Linked DNA regions of Tribolium castaneum. The protein of the gene in region 1 interacts with the protein of each later gene in a pairwise test. Links are inferred from orthologs where the notes say so. Each region holds a gene or a part of one and is shown on either strand. Other genes may lie near its edges.

Region 1 (4,971 bases):
ATTTTCGATACAATATAAGTTTTTTGTAGTTTTTTTTAATGACAAAAATTAATTCAGCAATTGTTTAATTTAAATAAAAATGATTCTCATTGAAAAATATTAGTTAAATTGAACAAAATAAACTGAAAAATTACCTGCAGAAAACATTTTTGCACCTTTTTTATTTTATGTATTAGCTGTTTCAAAACTACAGAAATTTTTTGAAGTGCATGAGCAATTTACAACAACTAACTTTTAGAGAAAATGAGACGTTGGCATTTCTACAGTTTTGAAACAGGTAATTTGCATAAACTGAACAATTAATTTTTTAATAAAGAAATCAATTATGAAGTGTTTCCAAAAAAATACAAAATATTTACAGTTGTGATTTTCTATTCTATATCGACAGAAATAATTTAAAAGACAAGTTTTTTAAAAAAAGATTAATTCTTTAAAAAGCTAAATGTGAAGCATTAATTAGGTTCTATTTTTTTTACGTAAAAAAAGAGTATTATTGAAAAATGAGTTAAATTGAATAAGATAAGGTAAAAAAATAAATAATTTTTGTAACATTTTACATCGATTAAATAAATGGAAGTTTTTATTACAAAATCTTGTCATTGCCGACAATTAGTTAACAAAATATATAGAAAATTCTTCACACAAGACAGACTGAACGAAACAATCCACTTTAAAGTTACATTGTTGAATAAACTAAACTATTTTCTTAATACGAATTTCCTAATTTCTTTTTATAATATTTTCATACCATTGTTTATTGATTTTCTATCTGCGCTACATGAAAAATTATACAGCCTGTTTATAAAAAAGTGTAGAATTGAATTTATCGCATTTAATTATTTTATTTCTATGAAATTCTGAAAAATACCAATTTTTATCTACTTAGGCCACAAATAAAAACAAATTTTTCATATACTAACATTGTTTATTTTTTCTTGAAAGAAGCGGCAAACTTTTAATACCTACAACAATCCTACACTCTGTTATAAACAGTCCGTACTATCTTGCAAATGGTTCTTAAGCCCCCAATCCCCAATAATTAAAAGTTGTTTAATTTTTTTCACTAAAAAAAGCTTTAAAAGCTCATTAAAATTTGCTAGATATTGGTTTTGTTGTGCTTGCGATTTTCTGGAACGTAGTTTCACAAGAAAAATCTGCCAATTTTGCAATCTCCGGCACCAACAACACAGCAACTATAGGAAAATCATAAATTGGAACAAAACAACCCAAAACAACTCATATCAAATCTTTTCTATTTCTATACAAAAATTAGGCAATTATTTCCTTAAAGAGTTAAATTCTAGTTTAAAAATAAATTTAGTTAAACTAAAGTACTGTACAGTACAATTGGCGAGAAATACAAAATTGAAACTTGTTTTTGAAATTTATTGTCTCAGTAAAAAAATTACTTCAATAAGGCTACCTAACATACGATCTAATTTGCAATATCTAACATCTATTCAACACAGTAAGGCCGATTATTAAAAATCTAGATGAAAAAGCATCAATTTTACTGTAATTTAAACCTTTTTTTTAATAAGAACCATTCTTAAAAAACAAATACTAAAATCAGAACAAACTTTCAGCATCGATTGTAATAATAATTTTTTTTATTAGAAAATCTGGCGATTTAAAGCATTCCTCCAACAAAACAATCCATTTAAAAAAAGCAGATTGAATGAAACAAGCCAAATCATCTCATTTCAAAGCATCTTGTTCGATTAATTGAACTTTTTTAATGAGAAATTTAATTTTGATAAAAATATAATTTTATCGTCTAGACAAGTATGGTGTTTTTTTACGTTTTTTTTTTTCATTATAAAATTTTTTGAGTTTTGAGGCGTAGAATATTCAGAACCCACTTTTACAACTTTCTGCATCAATTGAAGACGAATTTTTATCAGAACAATTGGCGATTTATGGCATTCATCCAACAAAACATTAACAACTAAAAAACAGCAGATTGAATAAAATAAGACAAAGTATTCATTTCAAAAAATATTGTTGAATTAATTAAACTTTTTTTTCAAAATTTGCAAATTTACGAAAATTAAGAATCTTGTAAATAAGACAAATTTTTATTTAACAAATCAAAAGATAATCGACAGAAAAAAGACAGCAATAATTATTGTTAAAAAAGGTAGATTTATGTAACATGTAACATAAATTAAACCTTTTTTAAGAGATTAATTTTTGTTTAAAACCTAATATTATCCTATTCAGTGATTTATAACGATTTATAATAAAATTCTCTTAGAATTTATAATAAAAAACCTTCTTTGCTACTTCTGTTTCTAACTCAACAAAATAAAAACAATTCAAATATAACAGACCTTTTGAACCAATTAATCCAAATCTCTAGTAGTTAAGAACCACTTTTATCTGTTTTATTTTATTATTAATAACAATTAGTAGCTTGAATTTCGTGAAAATATTAAAAACTGCGAGAACAAAAAGAAGAAAAAATTGCTTACTTCCGGTGCTGCTCATGCTGATCTATTTTCCCGTTGGGTGGCGCATCTAAAAGCTCCTCGTAGCGCTGAAGCAACAGTCGGAGAACTTCACGTGGCGTAGAAAAGCTCCGATAGGTGGCCAAAAACACATTAATATATGTGGTTTCAAGCTCACCATCGTCCGTTGAAAGAGCTTCGACGAGCTTTTTCAAAGTGCCAGCTTTGACGAAACGGACACGGACCGTCTCCCATTCCAAATGGGAGATTTCGTCATCTGAATCCTGAAATGTGAATCCAATCAGTGCCAAGAGAAAATGGAAACGGACGTGAACTTTGGAGAGAATTCATTACAATTCGAGCGAGTGTGACATTTAGTCGAATTGATCCAATAATTCTGCGAAAATGTCAAATGGAATTTTATTTTTTGCATCAGATGAAGCGCACGAATTCACTTACACGTCTCAACTGGGATTTAATTACACGATCGTCACGATTTATTAATTAATTAAAACACTCGCACCTCTCGCATAACTCTCATTCATGGAATATTAACGCGGGAAGTGCTCTCTATTGATTTATTCGCTGTTTTGCACCACACGGGATGTTTCGGCACGTCGGCATTTTGCATATTTAAAATTCCATTAAAAAGGGTAATTCTATGCACAAACGATCACTTTTAATTCTCAGTGACAATGCTTTAAAAAAAACTTTTGACGCAATAATTACCACAATTATTATCTAAGCCCCTGCATCACCTAAAATTACTCTCTAGAAAACAGAGTATTTCAGTAATGAGTTACCTATACAGATGTTTATTTTTAATGAAACACGGCATTATTTCTTGCACTTTTGGAACTAGCTTCATTAATACTTCGCCCTAGACGTTTAATTGTCAATTCCGAAATATATTTTTAAAGAAAACAAAGTCCTTTTAAAAATATGTATTACACAAAAACTAGAATATGTGCAGTTTTCAGCATTTTAAGAAAAACCTTCAAATTTAAAGCTGTACTAATAATTGTAGGTATAGCTCATTTCAATTAAAAATAAAATAAAAAATTAAAAAGATTGGTAAAAGTGAGAGCTTGCAAAAATTAAAATGGACAACCTATTTTTTGTTATAGCCTCTCAGAGATTATAAAATTGTCTTTAAACAAACAAAACGTTTCACATGTCTAAAGTTAATAAATAAAACATAAATTTGAGTAAATGTAGTCATAAAATTGAAGAAGTCCGGACAATTTTAGAATTATATGTACATAGGTATTTATTTCAAGTTGACGTTTAAGGTTACACTTGCCCCTTATCATGACTTAAAAGATTGTTAAAATTATTAATTATACAAAACAGTTGACAAAACGAGATTTTATCCAATAATCCTAATAATTAATGTGAGAGGATTTGCTATAGAAAAATGTTTGTTCTTTAATTCCGCATCGAATGATAGATATAATTAATAGGGGTTGCCATTTAAAATAAGAAAAATAAAGAACTCTAAAGTTTGACAATAAATTGTGTACACCCTGTAGTAATCTAAATCACTTTGTATTTTTTTATTAATTTTTAAAACTAAAAGAGCTAATGCTTGTATTTTTTATTAATTTTTAAAACTAAATGAACGGAACCGATTTTATTGGATTCGATTTAAGTTTTTTTAGGAATATGAAAATACAGCTAAATGAGCATCCTTATAGGCTCAAAAAAATAATAGCATGCCACTTAAAAAATATTATTACGACGTCACATTTTTTTGAAAGCAGTCTAGTATAATCAAAAATATTTTGGTGAAATGCGTTCTAGAGTATAAATAACGTCTACAAAGTAATAAAAGTCCAACTTTAGTAAAAAAGTCTTCTCTAATATAGAGAAATACTCTCCATATTATACCGGGTTCGTCAAGTTTTACACTCAGGCACTTTTCACCTCATTGTAATTTATCTAAAATTCCAAAAAAAATCGTATGTGATTTTATTGTATAGAAGAACGATTTGACCGATTTTTAAAATGATTACTTGTATGGTGTGTTTTTTCACTTTCGCTTAGTTAACTATAGTCTAATGTTAACGATCTTTGGTCCATAGGTGTATTTTAAGGTAGTGTATCGAAGTGCCTAATTAAATTTTTGAGAAAATGTGTCGTTGATTTTTAATTTCTGTTTTAAAATTGGGGCAGCTTTTTTCCCATGAATTTTGGTAAAATTGTAAATCACTTCCACAAAAGGTCTCCATCAGGGTGGTGGTTTTCAAAAATTTATTACATTTGTTGTAAAATTGGCACGCGATCATTGTTGGGTTTGAAGGTTGAGGCAGCTGGTAAGAATTTTTCAGGCCCGGATTACCATTTATTTTATCTGTTTACTGTAAATGGAATGTTAATCTTTAAATCTTACGGCAAGAGTTCATGCGAATTGTAAACGAAGAATTCGTTTGTGCTTAGACCAAAATAGTCATCAATTTGAACTTCTAATGTAATTTTTTAATAAAAACATTTTTAACACATTAGTGTGCTTATTACGGTC
Region 2 (5,495 bases), on another chromosome or scaffold:
TTGTGTTCAAAAGAAAATTTGTTTATCAAAAGCATATTGTCATTAATGATATATTTTATGTACAAAAGTAGAATAGTAAAAAGGTATATTATATAATGTTGGTCAGAGTCGTCTTATATTACAAGGAACACTTATAGACAAGACGTTAAATATTGAATTTTAATTATATTTAGCGTCAATATTAGAATACATTAACATACATTTATATTAAAAAACAACAAGATTGATTTATACAATTTCTTTTTAATTGCTTAATGGGAAGATATTTTCAACTGACACATATATCTGTGATTGGAATCTAAAAAAGTATCCGGTGAATTACAAAATATATAATATGTATATATTAACTATATTTTAAAATAATCTTTCAAAGAATTGGCAAGCGGTATTGCATTGCATTAAGTGATTTTGTTACCGCTGTTGTGCAAAAGGCAGGTGCGAAATAAGAGCATTTAACCTCCACGTACACAAAAGCTAATGAGAAAGTTATCACAATTTCCAATTTCAATCAGTTACAAATACATGATAATCAAAATACAAATAGGAGAAGTTTTGACTCTGGAAAAAAGTAAAGTTGAACATGAGATTGGCACTCGAGATGGGTGAGACACCGCCACCTCACAGAGAGAGCCTTAGTCTACCACACTGCTAACGGAGTAAGCACCACAGTCCTATTAATAATATACTGTCGCGCTAATCTACATCCATTTACAAGGACACCTAACACAAATAAAACTAGTACGTAACGAAGTGATCGTAGTCATATAAGTATGTATGTATATGCGGCTAGCAATCGCACAAAAACATAGTGATGTTTAGCGAGAGCTCGAGTGCTTACTCCGGAACTACCACAATGATTAGTCTTCGTCCATGATGCAATGAGAAACCCAACCTGTTAACTAGGCTTATTCTATGTAGGAATATAAAACACCCTAAAACGCTGTGGTCAGAGAAGTATTGTCCCGTCACTAGTCTTGGCTCACTGATTCACACATCGCTATCCCTATTTGACACCACAAAATTGGCAGTAGATTTCAAAATACTCTATCACTAAATAGAATTGCATCTAGAGTCAATAACAACCTTGATTTTGGAGAAATTTAACTGACATATATTTTATAATTAATTACAAATACAAATACTTAAATATTTAATAAAAAGAATATACAGGACTTTAACTACCCTTCACTGGAAGAAGCTCTCCACGTCCGCACTTGCCTTCACGCTTACACACTTTGTCTTACAATTGTCTTTGAAATCATTAAATGTACTTTTTGGTTCCAAATCATTACATTTTTATAGAAGCACACAAATCGGTTTCTTTTTCTGCTTTTGTTTTTTCTCAGGTGATTTTTTGTTGATTTGTCGAACTAGATCATAAAATATCTAAAACAATACACAGCGTTAAAACACTGCACAATCCGACACGCAGCACAATACTCACATCAACAACATTTATTTTAGCTTTGGCAGAGGTTTCCATGAAGGCACAGTTGAACTGGCGCGATAGGTTGTTTCCTTGTTCTTTGCCTACCACTCTTTCCTCTTCCAGATCACACTTATTTCCCACTAACACCATCGGAACATCATCGGTGTCCTGACAAACAAAAACAAAACTCTACAACTGACCCTAACTAGCTCATTCACATAACACTTTTTGTATTTTGCACCGCAATTCAAACTAATTTTGGTGATGCACGATTGCACAACTTTATTAAAAATTTCTTGTTCAAAAAACTAAGTTATTAAAAAAACAAACAAGATATTTTTATAGAATTGTATGCTGGCCAAAAATACCAAACTATGCACTCTTTCTTTTAATGAAGAGAAGAAAAATGTAAACTTGTTGAACAGTGTAATAAATAAGTAAAAAATAATCAAATAAAAACAGAAAAATAGATGTAACAATCAATTTAGCGATAACAACTCCCACTGTTACGAAGAAAAAGTGGCCCATGGTAATAATCGAGAATTAATAATTTTCATTGTATGAAAACAACTAAATACTAAATAAAATGCCAGTTAGTTACGCAGTTTACGAAAAAAATTAGATAATTACTGACGCGAAAAAGTGGTACACAAAATATGGAAGCATTAGCCGGAAGTTGCCTGTATATTTGCATTATCAGTAGATTATATTCTGTTTATCATTAAACGAAGCTTTTATGTAAATTTTGTCATGTAAAATAAAATAGGTGCTGATCAATGACCTCTACACATGTGCAGATGTAAAAAACGTAATAATAAGAGTTATGAGTGGTAAAAGTATTGCTTACATGTGTGAAGTGAACCTGAAGGAGTTAAAAATATAAAACAACGACGTGTTAATAGGTGGAAGGGTGGAAATGAGTAATAAAGCAGGTCAACTTTTCCAATATGTAGATTAGAAACGTAACATAAATAGTGATCAATCTCATGTTGACCTTGGGTTTTATTTTGATAATGAATGTAACATTGATATGGATTGATACATATGCAATAAATTCGGTTTTTGTCGCAAATTTTAGCATCTAAAAGAGCGTGTTTACGTGTGACGTGAACTAAATAGTGACCTTAGAGGCAATTAGTCATCGGTTTTAAAGTGTGTGTAATTAATTGCAATTAAATTGAATGTACCTTGACTCTGAGAATTTGTTCCCGGAGGTCTTGTAGATCATTAAATGTTGATTGTGCTGTAATTGAATAAACCAAAACAAAACCTTGCCCGTTTTTCATATATAAATCCCTCATCGCCGTGAATTGCTCCTAAAACAATTTTTCGAAATGCAGTGTTTATGAGAGGCGGAATGTGGGACATACTGTGCCTGCTGTGTCTAAAATTTCAAGCATGCACTGTTGCCCATCGACTTCGACTTGTTTCCTATAGCTATCTTCAATAGTAGGGTCGTATTTCTCGACGAAGATTCCTTGTACAAATTGCACGGTGAGTGCCGATTTCCCTACACCCCCGGACCCCAAAACGACGATCTTGTATTCACGCATTTTCCCAGTTGCACAAAAACTTCAGTCTATCTGTAACGAAAATCGAGTGAAGATAAATCGCCGAATTCCGGGCGGTTGTGAGTAAGCGAAACTACGAAAGCGGCCTAATCTCGGTGGTTAACCACAACCCAACAGGATGCTAGCGCACATGGAGCAGACACCTAGTGATCAATCCATGCAGATTTGCAAACAATTCTACGAATCGGGGCTAATTAGGCGGGATTTGCGCCCCCTGTCACAACTCACGATACATACATTGGGTGTCCAGCTCCTGGGGCCACCGCGGTGCCGCTTCCGGTCACAGGTTCGTCCACTGCACTCCGTTTTCGGTTTTAACGTCAGAACGGCCCGAAACCACTTCAATTTACACTGTCATGGCTCAACGCTTCAACAAATACTCACTAGGTGAAACTATTTCAGTTTTTTACGGCATTGCCTTTTCAAGGATATGCTCATACTCTCAAGGGTGCTCTGGGAGGAGTTGGGCGTGATTTACATGAAAATGGGAAACTTACCGTGGGCTAAACACCGTTATTTCAGGATCGGGCGATGCCGTTGGTAGTTGATGGTAGGTGTATTAGCTTTAGCTATAGATATAGCGTATAGCTGGAGCTGCTGGCAATGGCAATTACTCTGCTCCCTGCTCCCCCTTCACCCCTTCGTTTCACCAAGCGCATGCCACCATGCCGCACCCGAGACAAGAACGGTCGATAAGACAGGAAAACGCAACGAGAGTTCCACACTCGCAACAGAGAGGCCACCACCAACACCAAAGCCACAGACCAGCACTTCCCAAAAGTTTTGTTACATAATTCCAGAATTCATATCTTTTTTATTATATAATAAATAAACTCAAAAATCGAAAACTTGTTATTATTTTTGAACAAACCCTTTATAAATCAAAATCCTTTGAAGGATGTATCCACCATTACAACAGAAACACCAATTCCCAAAAAAGTTTGGTTACGTAATTAAAAAAAATAATATATCTTTTTAATTATACAATAACTCTGAGATATATTTCCACCATCACAAGAAAAACAGCAATTCCCAAAATACTAATTACATAAATTATCTTATTAAATGAATCTCAAATCAATGAATATTAATAAATATTAATCTACCAGTCGTATTATTAAAAAAAAAAACAAGTTAACCTTGTACCTCCAAAACCAATTGAAGAAAAAATTTAGAGTTTTGAAATTTCGCAAAAAAAAATCTTCATAAATGATCGTATTTTTAAAATATTTACTAATGTACTAATTAGTTTTTTCGTAAAATGCATAGCTTAGGCACAAAACGTGTTCAATTAAAAATTAAAGACGTAACACCTCGAAAAACCGGCTTCTCATAAATTATATTTAGGGTATAAATTCGAGATGTATAGAATAAATGATTAATACCATGCGATCATTTAAATTTATAGAGGAGGAAGTAGGCAGTTTTTTTCTTTGTATTTGATAAACTGGTGCAAATTAAGAGAAAAATATGTATCCTAACTGAATATTACTATTCGAAATTTTATTATTTGTCCCTTCAGCTCGATCAGTATGTTAAAAATCTATTACAGCATACTCTAATGATAAATTCAAATGATTACGTGGTATTTAATAACAATCAGACGTTTACTTACCTTTTTTGTAAAGACAGTCTTTTTTAAATCCCTCAGTTTTATAGACAAAATTTTTAGACTAGTCTGATTTTAAATAAAAAACAAATTATGTAAAAACCTATTTGACAATAATGTCAGTGCCCAAACAAGCTTTACGGTAAAAAATATTGCAAACCTGCTTGGATGTGAGCTCCCGCAAACAGATCACTCGTTCACAAATTTTTTGTGAAAGGAAATGTCAAGAAACAACCCTTATTTATGTGTTTTTAAACGCCAAGCGAAACGACTTTAATAAAGTAATTCTTTGTATAAAATAAATAACTCATTTCTGCTTTAATTAATTTCGTAGTATCGCTTAATATTTCTGGCTTAATCAAGGTAAGAATGAATACAGTTATGTTTAATAAAAATTGCAAGAAGGAAATTCCTCGTATCGTAAAATATGTGTTCATTAAAAGGATTGGAATCTCGATGTCGCCAGTGAATAAAGCAGGTAGTGTAAAGCATAACAAAAAAGCGTCGTGATCAATGATTAAACAAGAATTCCGACTTTTATGAAATACGTAGATTCGGAATTGATCATGTTTTATTGCATTGTTTTTTTAACAGTGAAATAAAATGAAAATGTGTATTGAGAGCGAAATAAAAGTGGAAATTTACATAAAAATGACGGCATCTCCAAATGAATCGAACGTTTATCTATAGCCCCGAGTTTAATTTGATTAAAAGCTCCCAACTCTAGGCGGGCACCTATACCCCTATATGAAAAAATCACTTAGACGGATCCAGCGTGTGGTGTTGTCTCAAATTTTAATATATTTTTTAATACAACGTAGCGGGAAGACAGGAAAGGTTAATCTCATAGCTTAAACGGTTTTTAATTAGTTTTTTATAAGACGGA

The links. The genes of interacting proteins can lie anywhere in the genome.
Region 2: the proteins of Rgl (region 1) and Rap1 interact in a two-hybrid assay, tested with the Drosophila melanogaster proteins (2 studies listed by BioGRID). The link is inferred for Tribolium castaneum from reciprocal best matches to the Drosophila melanogaster genes Rgl and Rap1.

The regions. Positions count from the first base shown.
Region 1 is NC_087398.1:14,569,655-14,574,625, forward strand, and holds part of Rgl (ral guanine nucleotide dissociation stimulator-like 1), read right to left. Parts: intron 2,735-4,971; coding exon 2,475-2,734; intron 1-2,474.
Region 2 is NC_087403.1:4,584,167-4,589,661, reverse strand, and holds Rap1 (ras-related protein Rap1), read right to left. Parts: upstream 3,691-5,495; 5' UTR 3,498-3,690; intron 3,384-3,497; exon of another isoform or gene 3,238-3,383; intron 3,013-3,237; exon of another isoform or gene 3,009-3,012; 5' UTR 2,983-3,008; coding exon 2,800-2,982; intron 2,746-2,799; coding exon 2,617-2,745; intron 1,598-2,616; coding exon 1,445-1,597; intron 1,387-1,444; coding exon 1,297-1,386; 3' UTR 146-1,296; downstream 1-145. UniProt on the Drosophila melanogaster protein: Ras proteins bind GDP/GTP and possess intrinsic GTPase activity. Plays a role in photoreceptor cell determination.